4 linked regions of the Oryzias latipes genome follow. The protein of the gene in region 1 binds, or shares a complex with, the protein of each later gene. Links are inferred from orthologs where the notes say so. Each region holds a gene or a part of one and is shown in the gene's direction. Other genes may lie near its edges.

Region 1 (6,129 bases):
ATTTTTTTAAAAAGACTACAAATATAATCCATCCATATAAGAAGATTTTTTGTTTGATTTTGGGTTTTTTTACATTTCCATTTTCCTCTCCACTTTAGTGCCTGGAACATTTGGTTTCTGGTGTTTGACATGTACTTTATAAGCAGATCTGCAAACTTGAGCTGCACCTTTTTCATTTCTTTCAAAATAAACCACAAATGTTAAGTGTTCCAATAGGTTGAGAACTATATTTAAGATTCTGAATTTTCTGACAATTGCAATAATGAAATTACTTAGTAATTACTTGGTATTCTATATAAAGACAGCAAAGTAGACAGCAAAGAAAACGGTTGTGAACTCATACTTTTGTTATATTGTTGTTGTGCTTTTATTCTGAAGGGTGTTTTACACACAAAGAAAGACTTGGGCAGGGATTTTAGGAATTTCATATAAATAACGGGGAAAAAATGTCGTATAAATTAGAAAAACAGCTGCTGCTGATGGCAGTGGGGCTTACGGTTCCCAAAAGGTGTGCTTTGTTGTGCTTACCCATTTGTGCGGATCAAAGTGCATCAGCAAGCAGCCTGTGATTACCTGTTGTGAGAAGACCATCTGGCCCAGAGTCCCAGTAGGTCAGGTAAAATGGTCAGGAGACAGATTGTCTTATCAAAGCCGCCTGCAGACGTGGAGTTTTAAAGAACCACATTTCTGCATTCAGATTATTGATTTCTGACCAACAACGGGGAAAAAAGGAAGCAGTGTGTGTCTTTCTAAAGGCACACCCAGAGAGCCGGCGCTCTGTAATTGCTTGGCAACTGCTTGCCATGTGTGTGCTAAAGTTTAAGACAACAATAAGCACAAAATGTCTCCAAGAAAAGCATCAGAGCTGCAAAGTAAAGAGCTTCCTGTGCATGCAATCCTTCCTGCCACTTTAATTTGGCCATGTTTCACTGTCAGGATAAAAGATCCGTGGGGAGCTAAATGTTTGCAGGTCGTGGATAGCCACGGGCTTAAACCCTCTCCAGATCAACTTTACTTAAGCCGCCATAAGCAGCCCTGCTTTTTGACACCCAAAAGGCGAAGCTGCTTGGGCGCACAGCTTGTTTTCCTTCTCAGAATTTGGGCTGAATTGATATGGATCATTGTGTCTGTGGGAGGGTTTTGAGTTTGATGAGCTCTGAAGCCTCTAAGCTGAACGTTCAGCTTACTGGCTTTTGTCACAAGGGAGCGGAAGCCATTAAACCGACCACACAAACTACATCAATGTGTTAAAGACACAAGTTCTACCACAAACAGGTCATTAAATTTTACCTTTCTCGGTACAAAAACACATGGGCAGGAATAAGTTTTATCCTTAAATGTCTGGCATTTTTCTACAGGCCTGTTTCTTGTCTGCCTGAGCTCACTTTTTAACAACATTAATCAAGCTTGGTGTAAATAAACTCCTTTTTTTGTTAAGTAACCAAAATCAAATTACACTTTTGAAAAAAGAAAAAATCTGTATAACAAAAGCTCAAAAGCGTGTGGAGCAGAACACCAAGTTTGGCCTGTAAATTTACATATTTAAACAAGATGCAAAAACAAAAACAAACAAAAAATCTGAATTTTCTTTTGCAGACATCATTAGAGCTAGTATCAAATGCACGCTTGCATCTTCTCCACTGTAATTCTGATGTCTTCTCTCTTTGCACTGTGGAGATCTGCTGACATCTCCTGGAGATGTGGATCATCAACATCTGGATTTTTTCTGCATCCGGCTCTGTTTCACATCTGAAATAAAATCCTCAACAAATGTGAAAAACAACTGTTTGTTTTTCATAATTCTGAAGACAGATTGTACCTATTATTTCACAATGCAGTTAATTAATTGGAAAACATCAAAATTAATTAATTTTGGAACTTCCTGTTGGTCCTCTGCTCATTCTGCCTCCAATGTTTTTATTGTTTTAGGCTCATCCAGAAGCACATATTTCTTCTGACTATTCCAAAAGGTAACCACTTTATTGAAATGCATTTGGTTATAAGGTTTGAACTGAATTCAGAGCTGAAAACTCTAAGCATTAATTGGTCCAATTGAAGCTTAAATGTATGTAGCTGGCTAATCTGAATCTAAAGGTTTTATTCGCATTATAGTGAACTTCATAGTTACCTGCTGTTGAAAAGACATTAAAATGGTTATGACTTCAAAAATCTCATTTATCACTGATATATGGTGAAAATGAACATAGAGGACTTTACTGGTTTGACTTACACATTACCTAAAATAAAAATCTGGAATAATAACTTTAAAATCTATTAACAAATAGCTTCTCTTATTATTACGCCAAAAAAGAACTTTATTGTTTTTACCAGTTATTTCAGCAACACCTCGTTGTTACCAAATGATTGAAAATAAAGCGCAATTTGGTCTCTTTTACATGGGATTTTCATTTTATTATTATTACTATTATTATTATTAATTTATTTATATTTTATTTATTTATTACCACAGTGCTGTTTCACTAGGAATGACTCAACGCTAGGGGGCAGCAGTGCGCTCAGAGACATCCTATCTGCACATTATATTCAACGAAGAGGAAGCGTCTCCATTGAATTTTCATTGCGTCACTTCCTTGTAAAATAAAACAAACGTATATGCGGTTTTGTGCTATGGTTTAATTTTTTTTTGTAAACAACTGCCTATATTTCGGTTTAGTAAATCTCATATTTAAGGAATAATAGGTGTTCACTATCAGGTTAGTTGTGTCTCATTTCTTCTTGAATTACAGTAAAGGCTTTTCCAGTCGTATTATTTATTTAGTCTTTTTTCCATGCTTGCTAAGCCGGCTAATGTTTACAGCCGGTGGTTTCCTTTTCATAAACTGCCTCAGTTACATAAACGCGTAATTAATAATAATCATAGTTGAATTGTTAGATTATTCGTTGTCATGTTTTAAGCTAGAGAGACATTTTAAACAAACGGTACACACACACGGCTTTGTTTGTTTGTTCCTGCTCTCCGTTTTTAAATTGTTTACAATATGCCAAATCATGACGTTTTATTTCAAGTTAACACATAATGAAGATGTGATGAAGAGAAACATTTTAGATGCTCACTCTGTCTGATGGTTAGAGAATCCATTAATTGTGACATTTCAAAGCTTGAATTTCATTGAAATAATCATCACACATGTTTATATATTAATATTTCACCAAGTACCGCCTGTAGAGGAAAATAAAGTATTTTGTGTGTTTTGCTCCATGATACCACCCTTATTTCCCCTTTTCCCGTGTCTCCCACACGTCCAGGTTGTGGACATGGAGCCGCCCAGTAAACCTGGCTCCAACCAGGTGGCCGATGTGGTTTTTGTCATCGAAGGGACGGCAAACCTGGGACCGTACTTTGAATCACTGAGAAAAAACTACATCCTTCCAGCTATTGAGTAAGAAGCAGAAGATGTGCAGACTTTACAGAGTGAGCTGCTCATACATTAAAACAGTAAATATCTTATTTCTTTTTTTCTAGATATTTTAATGGAGGGCCCCCAGCAGAAACAGATTTTGGTGGAGACGTGAGTGTAATTTCTGTTTTTGTTAGTATTTCAGTTTTTTAAACTATTTTAGTCCCGTTTTGTAATAATAAGTGACATCTGTTTTTCTTCCTAGTATGGTGGAACACAGTATGGTCTGGTGGTGTTCAACACAGTGGACTGTGCTCCTGAATCCTACGTTCAGTGTCACGCACCAACCAGCTCTGCCTACGAGTTTGTTTCATGGATCGACAGCATCCAGTAACTTGGCTACATTTATTAAAAAAGCAGATAGGGATCTTGTCTAAAACTCCCATGAATTTCTTGAAAGATGTGATGGGTGTTTTCCTGCAGGTTCATGGGTGGTGGAGCAGAAAGCTGCAGCCTGATTGCAGAAGGCCTTTCTGTGGCCTTGCAGCTCTTTGACGACTTTAAAAAAATGAGGGAGCAAATGTAAGGTATCATTTCGTCTAAGATGTTTAAAACATTGTTCTGTGTTTATTAAAATAAAAGTTAAAGTACATTTTAGCTCCCTAACTTTTGTTTAAACCAGGGTCTGCAACCTTTAACACTAAAAAAGCCATTCAGGCCAGTTTCCCATTGACAAAAACAGCAGCAGCTCCGAAGTCTTGTTTCACCCTCTAGAAAAATTCAAAACTCCTTTGTATTTGTTGCTTTCTTTTTTTGATATATATATATTAATTAAGCTATTTTGACTTAAATAAAAACAATAGGGAAAAAATAAATGATAGCATTTTATTCAATTCACATGAATTTGTTTTTTCCTCCTGAGAAAAGTGGACACTTTTAAAAAAATAAAGACACATCTGCTGCCGTAAATATACTTCAAAGAAAATGTTATACAATGTAAATCAACAAAGGCTTTTTCTTTTGTTTTATATAAGTCTACTTTGGTGTGTCATCGCCCTTTTCCAAGCTTAGTAATATAACCTGAAGATAAATATCATGGTCTGAGAGCCATGTATAAAAGTATATACATGTCTTTCTCTTTCCCCCTCTGGGCAGTTATTAAACATTATTTTGCAGCGTAACATAATTTGTTTTAAGTATATCCCAATAATAAACATACTTAAAGGATTACAATGTTTTTAAGAACACATGTAATTTGCTGAGTGTTTGAAATGTGTGCATTCTGGGAGAAACATAAGGCCGTTTTCATTTTTTATTGTTATAGGAGCATTTTAGCCAAAAATCTAAGAAACTACATTTAAATCAATGCTACGATATTTATCACAACCAAAGAGCCAGAATGGAGCAGTTTGGCTCTGGAGCCTCGTGTTGCAGATCCCTGCTTAAGACATCACTGACTACTTTTTAAGTTTTGTCTAAACAAGTTTTTTTCACGGTAAATGGGGAGAACGTAGACTTCCAATGTCTGATGTTGACTTTTACAGTATTCTAAACATACTGTGAAGGATTTTTAACAGTCATTGTTCTTGTTTCTGTCTGCGTGTGTCACTGCAGAGGTCAAACACATAAGGTCTGCGTGCTTCTGTGTAATTCTCCTCCGTATCTGCTTCCTGCTGTGGAGAGCGTCAGCTACACCGGATGCACAGCGGAAAGCCTGGCCAAAATCATCAGAGATGTGAGTTTTTCTACTGTGGTTTTTAATTTTGTTCAGTTCTATGAGTTGTGGCATTTCTCCTTTTTTATTATGGGAATATTTCAGATTTAAGGGGGAATTTTCAATGAATTAATCCGTCCATCAAATTGACCGTCCAACTAACTAGTCTAAGCGATGATGTCCTAAGATTTCCCTCCCCAGAATTGTTTTCAAATCTTCAGTTTTTCCAATTATTGTCACAATATATTATATTTGAAATAGATTTTTTTGAATAGGAATTAATATCTTCTCATTCAAACCAATTGTTTAGTCTGTCTGAACAGCATTCTTTTAAGAATATTTTACAACTACAAACCAAAAAGAAGAAAATCTCAATGCAATTTCAATTGCTGTCATTCTATTACAATATTTTTACACTGACTTTCACATCCATGAGGCTGTGAAAGCAAAACTTTCTAATATTGTTGAGGCGACTTTCCTACTGAAGCTTTCTGAGGAGCCGATGGGTTGACAGGGTCTGTCTTATAAATGCGACGCAGTTCATTCCGTTGTTTTGTGTGTGTTTTTTTTTTGTTTTTGTTTTTAACTAAAAAGAATCAAAGTAAAATAAATTTATTTTGTACGAGTTCATGAAGCTGATTAACCAATGGGAAGAAAAGTGGACAGCAAAGAAAACGGTTGTGAAAGTAGCAAATAACTAAAGAAACAACCCAAGCTGCCCTCTCAGTTTGCGGATTTGCTGAAACAATTTAGTCAATATTCAAGATAATCAAGTGTCAATTAAATATGAGTACAAACAAACAAGTAAACAAGAATTATTGGCAAATCCATTCACATTTGAGTTTCCTAAAGTTCAGCCGACTGTTGTTTTTCCACATCCAAAGAATCCAAAGGGAACAAGATTAGAACATTCTAGACACTGTTTGGTCACATGACTTTAGTAATTTCAAAGTGTTTCCACACATTGGACTGGAATGATCGTCGTCACATGTGTGTTGTCTGCAGTGATGCACATCAACCTACTGCGCCTCAACCCAAATGGCGTTTTCCATTATC
Region 2 (6,026 bases), on another chromosome or scaffold:
CTTTTTAGGGAGAATATTCACAAAGGTAAACAAATAAGAAATAAATATATGATAAATATATGAAATGGAACGTGTGAGATCTAATTGTAACTAAAAGAAGAAACAATAACAAATGAATACAAACCACAACCCACTGGATCATACACACGACAACCTGCTGCCAGTTTGTCAGTTTGTAGGCAGCATCTCCATTTTCCATCCATCCAGAAGTTTGTGTGGTATTTTGCAACCAAACTGTTATATTTAGTCTCTACATAGAAAGATGAACATATTTCTTTATATGCAGGTCAAGATATTAAAATTACAATGATACAAAGAGGTTCTGATTGAATTACCCTCCTTGAGGGCTTTGACCCATCTCATACGACAGTCGTTGTCTGGAGCAAAAATGTAGAGGTAATAGTTGTCATGAAGAACCTGCAAAGCATTTGTGATTTAAAGAAAATATGAGACAGAAATCTTCAAAATTCCTTTGAATTAAAAATGAAATAAATTATTTTTTAAGTTAAAAAACTGCGACTGGTACCTGAAATGGGTACTTGTATTGGCATGGTATGGGGATGTCACTACACACAATTTCCACACACTTAATACTGGACAGTTGAATGCAACCTTTTAGCATGGGCTTCTTCTGCAAGATCGTGCCATTTCCAAAAGTTGTCAGTTCAGTCAAGCTCAATTTGACAATTCCATGAAGCACACAAGCACTCACCCCCGAACGGCGCTCAGAATACTTCAGCTCCTGTGTGTCCAAAACAAAAAATCTCTCTTTGTAATTACACGGTGACGTTCTCTTCTTTTGCTGAGATTTTTTGATCATGGTTCCCTTCAAAATCACCCGAGGAAACATGGTTAGCAGTTGAGAATAACACCACTGGAGACACTGGGTGGTATTGGACGGAGTAACTGAAAGCCTCTGACTGCAGGGGGGAAAAAAAAGGGAGAATGCAAACATTGAAGATGCCGAAGAGTTTCCGGCGTGGGTTAGTTGCATGCAGTAAACCACATCCTTGTGGCAACACTCTGTGCAAGCAATCACACACTGATGTGCACACAAATACACACACGTATCATCACGTATGTTGTGTTAAACTCAATAAAGGTTTTTTTTTTAACATGAACCTTTGATGTACTATTGATCAAATTTTGCATAAAAATGTAAGCTTTTTGTCAGAATTGCTTGGTTGTTAAACAAAAATGTTTTAGAAAACAATTTAAATTTTCATATTAAATCAAAAGCTAAAAACAAAAATAACACTGTTAATCAATACCTAAGAAGCCATAGCTGGGGTTTTTTTTCGGAATTTTTAAATTTTCTTTTTTCTTCATTTAAAAGAAACTCTCCGCTTGTATCAAAATTGTAGTAAAAAAGTACTACTGAAGGAAAACTTAAAAATGAAAAAAATGCAATTTTTAAAAATGTAAAATGCATGATAAGTTATATCCTACAAACACTAAGAATGTCAAGGTTTCATGAATCACTAAATGCAGAAAACAGCAAAAGAGAAAAGTCTGGTTTCTAAGAAAAATGTATCCAAATACAATATGGAACCTTTGATGTACTTTTCATGAGGCTATGTTTTCTTTGGGGTTAGAAAGATTCTTATTTTTCTTTTCAATTTTGGTTCAAATACGATGTTCTTGTTTTGTTTTGCACACTCCGAAGCACAACCTTTGCCCTCTGCTAAATATTCACTAGGCCTATGACAACGTTTATAAAATAAAATGTTACATGTCATTCTTATTTAGTGTCAGGGTCAAGATGAAGTCAGCTTACTTATAATAGTTTGACCATTTTTATTTAAGTGTAAAAAAAAGAAAAAGAATGAATATTAGGTGTTGCTAATTGACTAAGTAGAAAATGAAACATAAAATTCAAAGTTAGACACTTTCACCTGCCCTACTGTATTTAGGGCGTAAAAACAAATGATAGATACATTTTTAAAATTAGAGTCCCCCTCCCCCCCCTTTTTTATGGTTACAGATCTGAACTTTTTTTGCTTGGGTTTGATTTCTTAAGCAGCTTATTTTAAGAACATATTTTAAGATTTATAGGCCTACCAGGATCAGAACCTGAACTCACTATATTAAACAAACAAAAACTAACAAAAAGTTTAAAACAATTAATACAGGAAAGAGATTAGTTTTGAATAAAACCCACTAATTATAAGGTTAATAATGAAATACTTTAAAGGCTTGTCGACGCAACCAATCAACGTCGAGTTTGTTTCCGGGTCACTGTCCAATCCTGGCATCTGAAACTCAACCGGGAAATGAATAAAGCGAAGCTAGTCAGGAGCTAACTGGCTAGAAGAATTTTCATCTAAACTCAACCAATTGAGTCGTTAAACAGGTTTGTACAATAATCAGTTATAAATGTAACCCTTTTATTCGTGTTACAGACCTGTTTCTTTGACTGTAGAGACTGTATTATTCAGCAGATGCAGGAAACGACGTTTGTTGTTAGCCAAACATCAACGGAGCGGTTTTATTAATTAGGTTTTTGTAATAACTTTTACTGTTAGTTAGTATATACGTGGGCTTTTATGTGGTATCTAAATGCACTACGGCGGAATAATTCGAGATTTGTTACGTTAGGTTTGACTTTGACATAGTTCTCAAAATGAATCGTGATGATCATGTGTGTGTCTGTTGTCGACTTGTCCGCCTTCTTACTTAGAAAACAGGTTTAGCTATGTGATGTGTGAACATTATCTGTTGTTGTACTTCTTGTGAGCACGTGTAAAATCCTAAAAAAAACGCGTGGGAAAAAATACTTTTATTGGTTGGAGCGGTTAACGACTCGTTTGGCTACGGTAAACTCTGATCGTGGCAATCTTCAAGTTAAAACATGCACCGACCATATGACATATCCTTCTCTGATTTGAATGTTGTTTTCTTTCCTTCAATAACAATGATACAAAGTGTTGAAAACAGACATCAACAAATATGCATTTTGTAAAAGCTGTGTTTTTTTTAATGTATAGAATGTGCATGTATGCACTTCTCTTTACTAAAATCCACAATTTGACTTGTTTTTGACCCTCATTTGTTCTCTTCTTACATCAGGATGGCTTTTCTTTAAACATTTTTTTAAACTCTGCAGTTTTTTTTTTATTTATTTTTTAATTTTGAATATAAAATCTACTAATTCAGTTGTATTTGCTAAATTGATAGCAGAACAATTATAAGGTTATGTGCACAACAAATAAGCATTTTGAAAAAATGGTGTTAAATCACACAGAAAAAAATCATATTCTTTAACAAGTACAATCTGATAGGGGGGATAGTGATAGATAATATAAATTTAAACATGTTTCAATTGAATAAAAACTGTTTTCTTATAGATAAAGGAATTATAATAATTTGGATTTTTAGTTACCGGTAAGTAGCACAGACAATTTGTTTCAATTAAAAAAACATGAGGATGTAAAGAAGTTTAGGAATCAATCAAAAATCTGTTTAATTGTCCCACAGGTAACTATAATGCAATGGAAGCTGTCACATCTTTATGCCATTTTCCACAGCATTTAGAAATGGCTTTATTGATTAATTATTTTTGGTATTGTAAAACTGATTATGGAAACCTGTATAAGTCTTTTCTCACAATTTTAAAAAAATGTTTCACTTAAAAATTCCTCTACATTTTCTTTAATCTTTTGAAAAATATATTGTAAAACAATGTATTATTGAATAAGTATCTGTAACAGAAACTATAGTAAACCGTGTTAAAATAATTATAACGTTTGTGGATGCATATACAAAACTAGTAATATTAGGCTAAGTGTCAACATTGTACATCTGTTCCTGTGTCTGTTGGTTAATCTGCATTTAATACTTATCTACTCTAACCTAAAAACATGTATATGTTTAAGCTCCACAGATGCATGTTCTTCTTGGTTGTCGCTCTTGCCTCACAGCAAGAAGGCCCCCAGTTCAAGTCCCAGCTGGGGGACCTGAAACAGAATCACCACTGGGGGACCTTTCTCTGTGGCGTTTGCGTGATCCCCTGGTTTTTCTCCAGGGACTCCAGCTCCCTCCCACCGTCCAAAAACAAGCTTCATAAGTTAATTGGTTACTAAATTCTCCCTAGGTGTGAGTGTGCATGGGTGTGTGAACGTGGCTCTGCTACAGACTGGCGAACTGTCCATGATGTCCCCTGCCTTTGCTGAGATAGGCTCCGGCAGCCCCGTGACCCTGAAAGGGACAAAAACGGGTTTAGAAAATGAATAAATAAGGATATTTTTTCTTGAAAGTTATTATTTTGGCACATTAAAAAGGCATAGTTTTGACAAAGTGCTATCATGACTGTGACTTTACTGACTGGAGAAAGCGTTTATGCAAGAGGTAGCTGATGCCATCACCCAGAACATATGAGGGGGTCATTAAAGATTGTTTTACTTCATATAAGTGAGACCCGTGAACTCGCCACAACAGTGGGATCTTATCAGGTGCATGACTGTGTATTTGTTGTTTGGATTCTTTCTAACTTGTAGTTCTATTTATTTTATAATTTTTAGGTCTGCAAAATGGGTGAACCACAGCAGGTCAGCGCACTGCCTCCACCGCCCATGCAGTACATCAAGGAGTATACAGATGAAAACATTCGCAAAGGTCTGGTGCCAAAGCCGCCTCCGCCCATCAGAGACAGCTACATGATGTTTGGCAATCAGTTTCAGTGCGACGACCTTATTATTCGGCCTCTGGAGAGCCAAGGCATCGAGAGGCTGCATCCTATGCAGTTTGACCACAAACGGGAGCTCAAGAAGCTGAACATGTCCATTCTCGTAAACTTTCTGGACCTTTTAGACATCCTTATCAAAAGTCCTGGTAATATTAAACGCGAAGAGAAGATGGAGGACATAAAGCTTTTGTTTGTTCACATGCATCATCTGATCAACGAGTACAGGCCGCACCAAGCCAGGGAGACTCTGAGGGTGATGATGGAGGTGCAGAAGAGGCAGAGGTTGGAGACGGCGGAGAGATTCCAAAAACACCTGGAGAGAGTCGTGGAGATGATCCAAGGGTGTCTTGCTTCTGCGCCTGACGACCTGCTGCAGATGGAGATTCCAGACGTTTCTGAAGGGCCAAAGGGTGCGTCCGGAGCAGCTGCTGCCCCCTGTTCGTCTGGGCAGCCCCCTCGGCTGAAAATGGAACCTATGGATGTTGAGGAAGCGGGGGGCAGCTGTATGGTTGCAGGAAACCAGGAGAAAAATATCCCTTCTTCAAAAAGGGACAAAATATGGGACAAAGACGCTGCCATGTGTAGTATAATTGATGAATTAGCTTAGCTGTATGTTTTTCTTCTCTCTTTTATAACCAGAAATCGTTTGATTGCTCTCTGTTTGACTAATTGCAGTGTTTTCACAAGAACAGGAAGTCTTCTAATGTTAACTTATCTAAAGGCGGTCTTTCAGTTTTTTTTCCTGCACATGGGAAATAATTTAGATAGTTGAAATTCTGTATTAAAACATTGTAGTGTCAGTATTTGTTTTTGCAAGAAACCTAAAAAAACATTTTTCATTTGGGTATGTTTAAAACTGCAAATAAAAGTCTCATGTTCATATTTATGCAAACGTTTCTCCTTTGTTTGCTAGTCCTGTCAGTTCACTTGCTGTTTTCTCACCACTGTGGAATGTAAGCATGATCTATTTATTATATATTTGGTTCCTCCTTTCCATTCAAAAACAGAAGTGTGTTGCTTTTCAGGAAGTTGCTCTGACATAATTTCTACTTTAGTAGAGAGGATCACTCTTTGGATGCAAATAAGTTGCCTTTAGTTGCACTTTCTGTTATGTCATATACGCCTGTGTCACTTCTGGAGCAGGGGTATTTCTTAAATGATACTTAGGATGTATTTGATCACATTTATGCTTCATTTGATTTAAAGGTTAATGAAAATGGGGTAAAAATAAAACTTATAAGGTAAATTTTCTTAGATCTTTAATGACTGAACGATACGGCAACAACATTAAAGTCCCACTCCAAACATCTTTTGATCTATTGTAAAGTGTTCCCAGTGATCT
Region 3 (6,036 bases), on another chromosome or scaffold:
AGAGCTGGGATAGACTCCATCTTGACCCTAAACTGGAGGAAGAGAAGGTGAGTGAATGTAGGATATTCCACCTCTGAAGCATATTTGGAGATTTGACTATGATGCCTGAGCTGACGAGAGGTTTTGATGTTTTGTTTGCATATTTTTTAGAAAAAAAAAGACTTCAGATTTTTTTCCCATCAAGCTTTAAATTAAATCTAAAAAAGTGGGGGTTTTTTTTGTAGTAAAAGAAACAGACTTTTTTATTTATTAAATCAAATTAAATGTTTTAAAAGAAAGTGGGAAAAATGAACATCATTAATAGTGTTTAATCAATCTCATTTGTGAGGAAAAGATGGTGGACGTCATTAGTACTCATTGCCTTACTTGACAATAAAAGCATTTGGCTTTGATTTTTCACCTCATGTTTTCTCTATCATTAGAGTTCCCTGCTGCAAACAAATGACAGTAAAAATGAAAAAACAAACACAAAATGCCAGTTAATAAAATTAAGTTCACATTAGGGTTACAGCATAAAAAAAATCAAAATAACTTTAATATGTTGAATCACTGATAGTGGCCACAATGGGTTTGAAAATATGTTTCAGATGATGAAAAATAATCTAAAAGTATACTTTTTTGCTTTATATGATTAAATTACTGGTAAAATACTTTTTGTTGCCACTAATAACCAGAGGAGGGGGTTTGGGTAATTTAGATTTAAATTTTAATATCAGTCTATGAACCAGATATGGTCAAATTATTACTATTGTCGAAGGAATTTCCCTTTTACTTAAAGTTTTTTTTATTAGGTATTCCTGAGTTTAACTATACTTAGAGCAGGTTTACTAAAGAGCATGTACATGTAGTGCAGGAAGTATACTAATTGAACACGTCATACTAAATTGGAACATTTTAAATTTACAGTATGTACTGTGTAGACAGTTGATAATAAGTAAACCAAAAGTATGCTGTCTCACTTTTAGTATAGATTAAGTATAAGTGCACACCTAAATAGATTACGTTTAGCTGAGTAACTTTTGCTTTCTAAATAGATTTTTGGTTAATTTGTTTTTGTACTTCTACTGAAGTAACATCACTAAAGCTTGGTCATAGGCCGTTTCATTCAACACAGTTACATTTATTATTATTATTTTGTATTGTTAAGAAAACAATATACCTTGATTTTGTTTTCAACTCTACAAATATGTGTTGAAAAGTTCCATCAAAATACTTGAACAACATTTGATCAGTTGGTGGGTCAGTACCTGAACAAATAGTTTTCTTGTCATATTGATAATTTCTTTAAAACTTTAGCTTTCCAGTGACACTTTTAGAGTATGCAGTTGTTTCTGATGTGATCCCTGCAGGTTTTCTTCAATTTCTAAAAATGTCTAATGCAAAGAAAATAGGCCAGTGCTGAATTTGATGACACTTTTAGTGGAGATGTGGACATTACGAGGAAAGGATGCACCAATAGATATATTAGAAATCAAATTTCTTGTTTGACTTCTGGTGCAAAGATTATTTGGTATCCAATCTTGAGTGATTCAATATTGTATTAAAAATAAAAAAGAAAAAAAGTTTCATTTAACATTTTTTATCAAATTTTTCCAGTAAAGATAGACAAAAAAGATTTAAAATAGGGAAAGGGTATTTCTTATTTTTACCTAAAACACGTGTGTTTAGCTAATCAAGTAAGGAGACCACTTTTAAAATTTAGTTTAGTATTGCATGTAGTCTACATAACTGGATCAGATTTGAAAGAATTTATAGTCACAGAATTGAATGTAAACGTCCAAATTAGTATTGTTGATTTCATGTTTTATTTTGAATACATGGTTTGCCCAAAACTGTAATTTTTGTTATTCAACTGTTTATAATTTATTGTTTAATCCCACACTCACAAATATAAATGGTCCATTTCAAAATCTTGTTTTAATGTTTTCATTCTTGACTTTAAAATAATCACAACAGTGGAACAAATGTAAAATATGCAGATCTTGAAGGAATGGCACATTTTTCAATTCTTTTTAACAAGATTGTAATGATTGTTGATGTGCAGGTTGTACAGTACGTGTTATGTTTACTTTCGCCTATTGTCCTGTATCTAGTTCATAACAAAGTTTTTTAAAGACAAAAAAGGTTTAAACGACACTTAACGAAAGGGAACAAAATAAGAGCTTTTCTTTGAAGCGGCGCACAATCTGAAACTTTTATTTTGAAGTGGCAGAATGAGAGGCAGCCGGAAGCGAGTGTCGCTCTTACATTCAGCCCAGAGACTGCTGTTTAGGAGGCGGAAAGCTTTGGCTGTGATGCCCTTAGATGATGGCTGCTTTCGGGATCTTAAGTTACGAACACCGGCCATTAAAGCGGCCCCGCCTCGGTCCTCCGGACGTTTATCCCCAAGATCCAAAGCAAAAAGAGGTGCAGTCAACTTTCATTCGAGCCTCTCTTGGATTGGAATTGTGTTTGTTGGAATTGTGTTTGTTGGTGGGGGAGAATTCTCTCGACAGGGAAGCTGTAGGGGGCTAACACACAGCTAGCGTTTTATAGCAGCGCTGTATAAGCGAAGGGCCTTGGAGCAACAATAAGCAGCTCCCGGCTGTCAGCTTATTAGCAGCTCCGCACTTAACTGGAAAACAAACCCCTCGTTAAATAACAGAGCTAGCTAAGCTAACAGCAGCTATGCCACTGAATATCAAACAGAAGTTTGTATTTCCGTCAAACAGAAGGGGGTTCATATCTCCGAAAGACTCGCATATTTAAATGTTTTGCTCCACAAAAATGGCGTTAACCTGTTAACTATCCTTTTTATTATTATTATTATATTTTTTTTAGGAATGTTTAATGCATCCTTATCGTAGTTTAATTTCGACTCTACCCTGTGTGATAATGGTACATTCCTTTGTTCTTATATATGTAGCAGGTATAGTTTGGGGTGTCAGTGGTAAAGCTTTATTTCTCGGCCCACCTTTTTCTGAATTCTCAGGGGAATGATCAGTTTTTGTGTTGTCAGCACAGCCAGTCGAGCACATTTCCTGCTTGCTCAGAACGCCAGTGATTGCTGAGGAATGGAGCTTTAGCACATCTTGTAGTATTGACCTCCTACATGTGTGTTTTTGTTTCAGGATGAGTTGACTGCCCTCAATGTGAAGCAGGGCTTCAACAACCAGCCAGCTGTGTCTAGTGACGAGCACGGCTCTGCCAAAAATGTCAACTTCAATCCCGCAAAGGTACCATTCATTTATTAATTATTATTGGCAGATTTTGTCCTAAATGCCAGTTAGTTTTTTTTTTTAATGCATGTGCTCATGTGTTTGCAGATCAGTTCCAACTTTAGCAGCATCATCGCAGAGAAGCTGCGCTTCAACAGTTTTCCCGATACAGGGAAACGTAAACCGCAGGTTAACCAAAAGGATAATTTCTGGCTCGTCACAGCAAGGTCGCAGAGCTCCATCAATAGCTGGTTTACAGATTTAGGTGGTACTAAACCTCTGACCCAGCTGGCTAAAAAGGTAAAAGTCCTGTGGATGAATCCTGGGATCACTGAGTATTGTTGTGTACTTTGTTTTCCTGTTTACTGTTTTTGTTCTCAGTTCACGTACGGAAATCTTCAGTTTGTTAAAGATGCACTCAGATGAAAATAGTATTTTTAACAGGTTCTTGTGGCATTTTTGTCATGATGGACATTTTTTAAGAAAATTAAGCCTAAAAGAGCATTTCTCTTTTTTAAATTGTTGTGAATGAGGAGCAGGAGAAAAAAATGCTTTTTGAAAAGAGATTGTAGTTGGACATAGAAAAATACGATGAGCCCCCTGCTCTGCTCCATTCTGATACATGCACTCACAGGCAAATAGATCCATGTACGTCTTTGTTTTCCTCGTCTGGGCTGAAATCTGGATCAAAACTGTACGGCTGGATACCGCCAATGTTGCTCGCCATTTTAGTATCGCTGCTAATTTTAGGTTGGGGGTGTGAGGAGCTGTAAGTTAAAGGGGAGCATGTAAACAGAGGAGTAACCGAAATTGGGGTGTGATCACTCCACGTCAACAGTCCTGCCCACAACTCAGAGGAGAATACTGATGAACTCCAGCTGCTCTGCAGAAACGATGTCCTAAAAAACGAGACAGGTTTTTGATTTTGGCTAAAAACAGCATAACCCTTGTGCTGTCCTATGGGGTCCAGATGACCCGATCTTTACATTGACGTGTTCTCCCTACCATTACAAAAGTGGATAAAGGTGGAAAGATTTCATGTAATCCATGGACACCAGTGAACATCACAAATCATTGAAGAAAAAAGGTTCAGAGCACTGTCTAGTGCAGAGGTGGGCACTGAGGGCCGCATTCCTGCATGTTTTCCAGCATACCCTGCTCTGGCATGTTCTGATTGGCTGGACACACCTTAACCAGGTAATCAGCCACGAGTAGGGCAAGATTATTGGCTGGACACACCTGAAGCAGGTAATCAGCCATGAGTAGGGCAAGACTATCTGGAAATCATGCAGAAACACCGGCCCTCGAGGCCTGGAATTGCCCACCCCTGGTCTAGTGGGTCTGGATGACCCAACTCCCAATGTTAAAGTGCCTAAGATAGCACAAGGGTTACGAGACCTCTGGGAACGCTTTGAAAATGGATCAAAAAAAGGTTGAAGTGGGTCTTTAAACTGTCAGTGAAAAGAAACAGAATATCTTTCACACTTTTTATAAACTAGTAGAATTAATGATATTTGTAGCAGGTACCGGATGTTAAAGTGTCTTGAGTATTTGTACCCTTACAATTCATCTCTATGATGCTCAAACTGAACTTTGACAAAAACAGCATAAATGGAACAGCAGCTTGATGTCGTCCAATAAAGAAAATCACATTGATGTCTTCTAACTCAAACACAGAAATCTAGTCAAACGGCTGCTCTATTTTGCATCATTGTAATTTACCAGACATTATTTTGTTCCATTGTTTATGAAAAAGCTGTATTTCTCAATTGATGTGTTTTCTGCTGGCCTGTACATTTATTATTACAGTCCCAGTCTGGGCCAATGTAGGCTAGCTGTGAGCATATAGGATATTTAAGCCAGGTTTATTTATAGGTAAAGTCAATACAAAAGTTTTGCAAAAATGCAAAAATAAATGTGAATTTTGTCTTCTTTTTTTTCTTGGCTGGTCAGTTTTGGCATTTGTGCTGCTATAATTGATCAGATCTTGTTATAGTTTATTTTATTTAGATAAAGTGAATTTCAGCTGTTGTGTGGACAGCCACATGTCTATCTCCTTAACCTGTATTTGGGTTTTACACAATTAAATGTAATTTGTGCAGCCAGTCAAAAAGGTTTATTTTGAAACCCATGGAGCCATTTCTCCTGGGGTATCTGTTAATTTAAATGGAGTTCTACTTTATTGCCAGCAGTCTGTGTGCAGACCTTTCCTGGTTTTGGCCTTTGGGCTGATGATTCATACTGTTTCATTTTAATCGTAGCCCTCACTGCAGATAAGTTAGATGAATTGCTTTCAAAGTGTCTTCCAATTAGTTTTTCATAAAGTTTAATCTCTCAAACTTATAGATCTAGTTAGTTGTTGTGAAGCTTTTGAGTAGCTTTTAATGTTTTATGGAGGTAGTACTGCATTTGTAAATACTTAGTCTTACAGAAAACATGCCTAAAATGACAGTAATACATAAACAGATCAGTAGTTTAAAGTTTGAATATGTGATTGATTATGTCAAACATAGAGATCAACTTGTAATGATTAGAAATGGCATCAAATTATGATTTGACTTGTTGCCCACTTTCACTTTTTGGGTCATGTTTATTCAGCAGTTTTTCAATCAGTTTTACTGATGATGAAGTTTATCCCCTAGGTACCCATCTTTAGCAAAAAGGAGGAAGTTTTTGCATATTTGGCCAAGTACTCAGTCCCTGTGATGCGCTCAGCATGGATGATCAAGATGACATGTGCATATCATGCAGCTATCACCGAAACTAAAGTCAAGAAGAGGCATGTGATCGATCCTTGTATAGGTATGAAATCTTTCCACTCAGTTTCAATCAAACCTAT
Region 4 (6,133 bases), on another chromosome or scaffold:
CTTTATATTCAGCATCTCATATCTCAAGAGCATGTGGCGTCATCACACTAATTCATAAATCTGTTCCTTTTTCAAGTTCTAAATGTTATTAAAGATACATCTGGCAGATTTCTGATTCTTCAAGGTTCCATTCTAAAAGAGACTATCAACCTGGTGAATGTCTATGGGCCTAACATAGATGATAACACATTTTTTACAAACCTTTTTGTAACCATTTCTTCACTCCAAGGATATAGTATCCTAGGAGGAGACTGGAATTGTGTCTTGGATCCCTCTTTGGATAGATCATCTGGATTTGACCAAACTCACCAAAGAAGTAGGAATGCTGTACAGAATTTCATGAAGGAATTAAAAATGGCAGATATGTGGCGACACACAAGACCCAAAGATATTGAGTATTCTTGTTATTCTAAAACTTATGGCTCATACTCTCACATAGATTACTTTTTAATTTCAGCAGAGTTACTATCCAATATAAAACAATGTTTTTTGACAGTATAACAATCTCGGACCATGTAGCATTTTGTACTTGCATATTAATCTCAAAATGCATCCACCCAGGTGGTGTCTGCATCGAAAATGGCTTAAGAATGAACATGTTGTTGAATTTGTAGGGAATAAAATAGATTAATATTTTACCATGAACACTACTCAAACTTCAGCCAGTGTAAGATGGTAGGCATTTAAAGCTTTTTTTTAAGAGGGCATATAATTTCCTTTACTTCATCAAAATCAAGAGAATTGCGCAAAAAAGAATACAATTAGAAGATAGAACAACAACAGCTGAGGAGAAAGTGTGTAAAAATAAAGATCAGCAAGCTGAAAAAGAATTAGAAATGCTGGGAGCTGAGTATAATAAGGAATCAACAGATCGTGCAGCCTCAATCAAACTCTCTATGAGCAAGGAGACAAACCTGGAAAGATCTTAGCCTGGCAAATTAAACAAACGGAGGCCCAAAAGAACATAACTTCAATAATTAACAAAAATGGGACAACCCTGTGCACCCAAAGGAAATAAATACTGAATTTAAAAACTTATTCTGCAATCTTTATGCTGAACTTTATGCTCAATTGCTGACATTTTAACAAACAAAAATATCTCTGCTCCTATTAAATTAAACGTGGGTGTCGGCAGGGATGCCCTTTGTCACCTCTGCTGTTCACTCTAGCAATAGAGCCACTTGCCATAGCAGTACGTGCTCATCCAACCATCTCTGGTATTACGATTAATCACGTAGAACATAGATTGTCATTGATATTGTTTTATATTGATATTATTTTACATGTGTACGAATCTGATGTGAGTGGAGTGAGAATGAGAGGAAGACCGCGAATGGGATGGACAGAGGGTGTAAAAAGAGCGCTGAATGCAAGAGGGATGACTGTGGTGCATGGGAGAGAGGCTGCTCAGGACAGGGATGGGTGGAGAGAGTTTGTGTATGAATGAATGGATGGGTGTGGTAGAGGTCTGGTCTTGGGATGAAGCGGCAAGGGGAAACCAGCCTCGGCTGAGGCCCTGCTGTGGAGGTGCCCACACTGGGCTGTGCAGCTGACCCTGGTGCAGTGTGGTGTGGCTTAGACCAGGCCTTAGACCGGTCACATACACACACACGCGCACACACGCACACACTGAAGGAGGAGGGTTTGGGGAAGAGAAGGAGGGCGGTAAGAATGGGTGCCCTGTCAAGGCTACCCCACTTTGGTGGGACACAGCCTAGGTAGATTGGTATAGATTATTTTACATCTCTCCAACTTAGACTCATCTATATCTGCTCGTCTGCAATTAATTGAAGAGTGTGGTTACATATCCAGCTACACCATAAATAAATCTAAATCGTCCATTTTACTGCTGAACGAGAATCAAAGAGAAAGGCCACCAGCAGTAATAATGCATTTTAAATCAGTCCACTCATTTAAATATTTAGGTATAAACATTTTTCCAAACATAGCACTAACAGTTCAAAACAATAATGATTCCATAACAAAAGAAATAAATGACAGTATTAATAGATGAATGCAGCTTCCTACATCACTGATCTAATGTCTACAAAATGAACATTTTACCAAAACTGCTGTATATTTTCCAAAATATGCCCCTGCCACCTCCCGACGGTTGGTTCAAAATTATAAAACAAATGATTCTGTGTTATATATGGAAAAATAAAAAATCTAGGACACAGCTATCGCTCCTTCATCTATGTATATTTACACACACATGTTGGTTAAGTGCAGGACCGATATATATAATTTTTATTTATTTAAGGAACAGGCAACATTTCAGTTATATAAAAAAAACTCTGTGGAGAGAAACTGTCAACTCTGTGTCCTCTGTCGCGTGCCTACGTCATGACGCAGGCATCGTATCCCAGCATGCAACAGGAGGCCAAGAGAGATCCAGCACCTCGGAGTGAGCTGTGGGAGCCCGTTGTCAGACTGGAACAAACGGTCAAACCCGCTCACACATTTCCAGCTCCATGTGAGGAAAGCGAACCTTTTACCTTCCAAGCTCCGGGAAACATGCGGTTCGGGTGCATATCGTGTTCGTGAAGCAGTCAAGAAGTCATCGTTGTCATCCGGTTTTCATTTTGGAGGATTCCTCCCTCCATCATCCGGATCGCATCAAACAGGCAATGACCACGGTATCCACAACCCCGCAGCAGATAAGGGACCGGCTGCTCCAGGCCATCGACAGTCAGAGCAATGTGAGTGCTCCTCCTGCTAACAGGCTACCCGGCCAGTGTTAGCTTGTTTACCTACACGCTCCGTACGTTAACACGTCTGCTTACGCTTGACGTGTTGTGCTACTTTGAAGGAAAACGTTTCTGTCACAGTATAGTTGAAGATGACTTTTCAAAAACCCTGACCAGTAGCGGTTCTAGGCACGGGCCGTCCGGGCGGTGGCCTGGGGCGGAAAACTGAAGGGGGCGGCACCGGCAGCTCAGCCCTTGTAAAATATTATATGCACCACTATTGGTTTTCTTATGTCACAGTTTGTGAGTTTGTAACAGCCTGAACCTGGCCGCGCCGCCGCCCCGCAGCTGCGCTCTCCTGTCTTTGAGAAGTAGACACAAATGTGTGTGAAGAAGGAGAAGGGAAGGGGCGCGGGGTGAGCACGGAGCGCCGCCGCGTTTGCGCATGCGCAAACCCTGGCTGGCTCATCTTTCAGAGGAGGCGACGGTCGCGGGCTTGATAAAAAAAATAAAAGTAATGTAGCGAATCAGCGCCCCTGGCTGTAGCTGCACGCGCTCCTGCTGAAAATGTGTGAAGAAAGGGGGGGGGGGGGGCTGCGGGGAATCAGTTCAATTGTGGGACGCTTCCAAATTAAGAGGCTAGGTGGGGACAAGGGCGGGGGTTTGAATCTACTTTATAAAACCTTTTTATAAGTCAGTCATAAGGTGACATTCTATAACCTACATTTTAATAAAGGTATAAAAAATATATTCTTCTTTTTTGGGTTAATTTTATGTGAAATGCCCAAATGAAAAAATGGCAACACAAAACAATGCTGTCACTAAGGTGACAGTTGGTTCAGTCGACGGACTTGATGCCTTCTTCGTGACGTGAGGACATTTATGCCAAACAATCGCCAAAAACATCTAAAATATGGAGAAGAAAAGGTCAAAGCCATCTGGTGCCCAATTTAGAAAGAAAAGAAAAGAAGAAGAGGAGAAAAGAGATAAAGAAAAGGGGAAGCCCTCAAAGCTTGATGCATGTTTTTTCTAAAACATGCATCAAGCCCGTTCTATCAAGCCCAAATGTTGCAAATAGCGTCATTTTTTATTGATTTTTTAGATTTTATTCTTAAAAATTTGCTCTGCCTTAACTTGTAACATTAGTTATGATTCATGTGTCTGTCTGCTGTGCTGTAACACAACGGTTTTGTTGTGTTTTGCTGTTGTATACTAGTTCATAATGTTAAAAAAGCTGTGATGGTTACACAGCATGCTGCTGCTGCCATAAGATGCTAATGGGGCAAATAATTTGAGATTGGTCATTAATTTAATAATCATTTGTGGCAGCCTAAACGTTTTCACAATGTGTTTTTGACATTTAACTGGGGATTTAGGGGTTAATTTTGAGCCAGCATATGAAGTTTATTTTTTATTTGTTTTACAAATGTTGGGTTATATTTTTAGCCAATAGAATTTCCATAAATCTGTAGGTAGTTTTAAAAATGAATATTTACCATTTACTGCAACTCTATGGGGACAAAACATAATGTAACAGGTCATAACTAAAAATGTGCCAATCAAAGGATTGAAGACGGAAAACATGAGCATGTCGGAAAACATGTTAGTTGACAAAGACATAGTTCTGTTTTGACCATGGGGGGGGGGGGGGGGGGGGGGGGGGGCGCCTGGGGAGGGTCTCGCCCGGGGAGTAATTCAGGGTAGAACCGCCACTGACCCTGACAGAGAGGCGCGTGCCTCTGGAGAATAGATAGAGCTACACGGCGAGCTACACCTCCATTAGCTTAGCCTCGGTTAGTCATGGCAGTCCCTTAGCATGCTAGCTGTTAGCTTAGCCCTGAGATTCACCAACACAACAGTAAAAGTTACCCAGCGACCCCCTAACCCTGTCAGGCCACAGGGGAACTGTTGTCGATTTAGCAAAACTGTCATTTAAAATAGAGGCAGAAAACGAGGCACTCCAGCTTTTTAGAGGTGCTACATTTACCAGTCTAAACAATTCTGTCCCTAAAAGTTTAATATTAACTTGAGTCAGGTCGAGAAATTAAAGGAATTCACTATAATCTTGTCTGGATGATTAAGAGATTTTGGACTGTGAGGCTCAACTTTTAAGTTTACAGCAATTCTTATTCCTCTAAAGAAGAATTTCATGTGTAGTGACCAATTTATGTGTGGCATTGAGATATAGTGAAATTACTAGGATGTGTTTGTGTGCATAAACATGCACAACATGCAACATACTATCCAAAATTTTCATTGTCATGGTTTTTCTTCATTGATTTTTTGGTCATTTTTGTAGCCAAACCCCAATACAGTTGTGTTTAACTAAAAGCTCAGGAAGGTTTGGTACTGTGGTGTGTTTCAGCACCGCTTTATGCTGGCAATCAACAAGTTTCAAGTATTATTGTAACGTAGGTATTACTTTCAGGGCTAACTTATCCTTTAAAAAGCGAAACTTTTCTAAGTAAACGGAAAATGTTTTTTTGTGTAACTCTGTATTCTTTATCATGCAAAAAAATCAACCTTTTTGAGCTTTGAAGTGTATTATAATTTTAATTCTTTACGAAAAACACCTCAAAAGCGGTATTTTGTTCCGTTCACGCATTTCAAAAACCTGCTCTCTGAGTACCAGCTGCTCCCAATCCACCCAATCGAGTGGCTCCTCATATTGTGACGTCAGTAAAAGTGGGAAAAGCCCCTTAAGCACAACACCAGCATCACTCCATGATGCTAAAAAGATGCTGCTAAAAAGGTTAACAGTGGAATCAGGTCTGTTATTACATTTATAAAATACAGCCTTTTAGGAGTACTTTGTCCTCTCTGGGTGGGTGGGGTGCTCCTGCCCCAGGTGGAGGAGGTTAATTTTTCCCGGATCGAGTTCTCTTGTTTTGTTCCTGGATCGAGTCCTGAATCTAGCTTTTGGTCTGTATTCAAACTGGCATCAAGCAGAGTATCCTGTTTGTTAACAAAACCATGTGACTAAAGATCTCTTCTGTCATTGGTCAGGTCCTACAAGGGCGGGGCAAGGAGAAAGACAAACGCGCTGCACTTTACAATCCCTATTGGGACGGTTAACTTATTAAAACTTGTCGATTACCAGGTTTGAACATCAGTAACAAACTTTTTACTTATTGTGGTACGGCGGTTCATGCTGCAGGGCGGATACTGAGGAGACGAGGATGCTAGCAAAGAATTTCTGTAGCATAATCAAAACCAGAAATGCTTTTTAATTTTACAAATTAAGCTGCATTTTTTTGACTCAAAATTCAAATGAAAAATCAATCCACCAAAATGCTTTTTCATTTCTACTTAAAACTGCTTATTCTGTGTCATAATTAAAATGAAAATGCAGAGACGGGATTGCATTTTCATTTTAACATCCACCCTGCGAACATTGTCGCATAATTCAATTCGACTTAGCGTTTCCAGAGGGGAGGCGGGGC

The links. Proteins that work in one complex are often made in the same cells at the same time.
Region 2: med25 (region 1) and med7 share a complex: the UniProt entries of both Homo sapiens proteins name them as parts of the mediator complex. The link is inferred for Oryzias latipes from reciprocal best matches to the Homo sapiens genes MED25 and MED7.
Region 3: med25 (region 1) and med12 share a complex: the UniProt entries of both Homo sapiens proteins name them as parts of the mediator complex. The link is inferred for Oryzias latipes from reciprocal best matches to the Homo sapiens genes MED25 and MED12.
Region 4: med25 (region 1) and mediator of RNA polymerase II transcription subunit 26 share a complex: the UniProt entries of both Homo sapiens proteins name them as parts of the mediator complex. The link is inferred for Oryzias latipes from reciprocal best matches to the Homo sapiens genes MED25 and MED26.

The regions. Positions count from the first base shown.
Region 1 is NC_019866.2:3,604,785-3,610,913, reverse strand, and holds the start of med25 (mediator of RNA polymerase II transcription subunit 25), read left to right. Parts: upstream 1-2,568; 5' UTR 2,569-2,714; intron 2,715-3,267; 5' UTR 3,268-3,276; coding exon 3,277-3,401; intron 3,402-3,484; coding exon 3,485-3,530; intron 3,531-3,624; coding exon 3,625-3,749; intron 3,750-3,842; coding exon 3,843-3,941; intron 3,942-4,973; coding exon 4,974-5,094; intron 5,095-6,129. UniProt on the Homo sapiens protein: Component of the Mediator complex, a coactivator involved in the regulated transcription of nearly all RNA polymerase II-dependent genes.
Region 2 is NC_019868.2:21,184,917-21,190,942, reverse strand, and holds med7 (mediator of RNA polymerase II transcription subunit 7), read left to right. Parts: upstream 1-2,237; 5' UTR 2,238-2,353; intron 2,354-4,520; 5' UTR 4,521-4,529; coding exon 4,530-5,291; 3' UTR 5,292-5,570; downstream 5,571-6,026. Other genes in the region: itk (tyrosine-protein kinase ITK/TSK), read right to left, coding at 125-250, 336-417, 527-631, 713-850. UniProt on the Homo sapiens protein: Component of the Mediator complex, a coactivator involved in the regulated transcription of nearly all RNA polymerase II-dependent genes.
Region 3 is NC_019868.2:8,240,515-8,246,550, forward strand, and holds the start of med12 (mediator of RNA polymerase II transcription subunit 12), read left to right. Parts: upstream 1-2,247; 5' UTR 2,248-2,304; coding exon 2,305-2,406; intron 2,407-3,110; coding exon 3,111-3,215; intron 3,216-3,305; coding exon 3,306-3,497; intron 3,498-5,839; coding exon 5,840-5,999; intron 6,000-6,036. UniProt on the Homo sapiens protein: Component of the Mediator complex, a coactivator involved in the regulated transcription of nearly all RNA polymerase II-dependent genes.
Region 4 is NC_019875.2:6,541,543-6,547,675, forward strand, and holds the start of mediator of RNA polymerase II transcription subunit 26, read left to right. Parts: upstream 1-2,344; 5' UTR 2,345-2,630; coding exon 2,631-2,702; intron 2,703-6,133. UniProt on the Homo sapiens protein: Component of the Mediator complex, a coactivator involved in the regulated transcription of nearly all RNA polymerase II-dependent genes.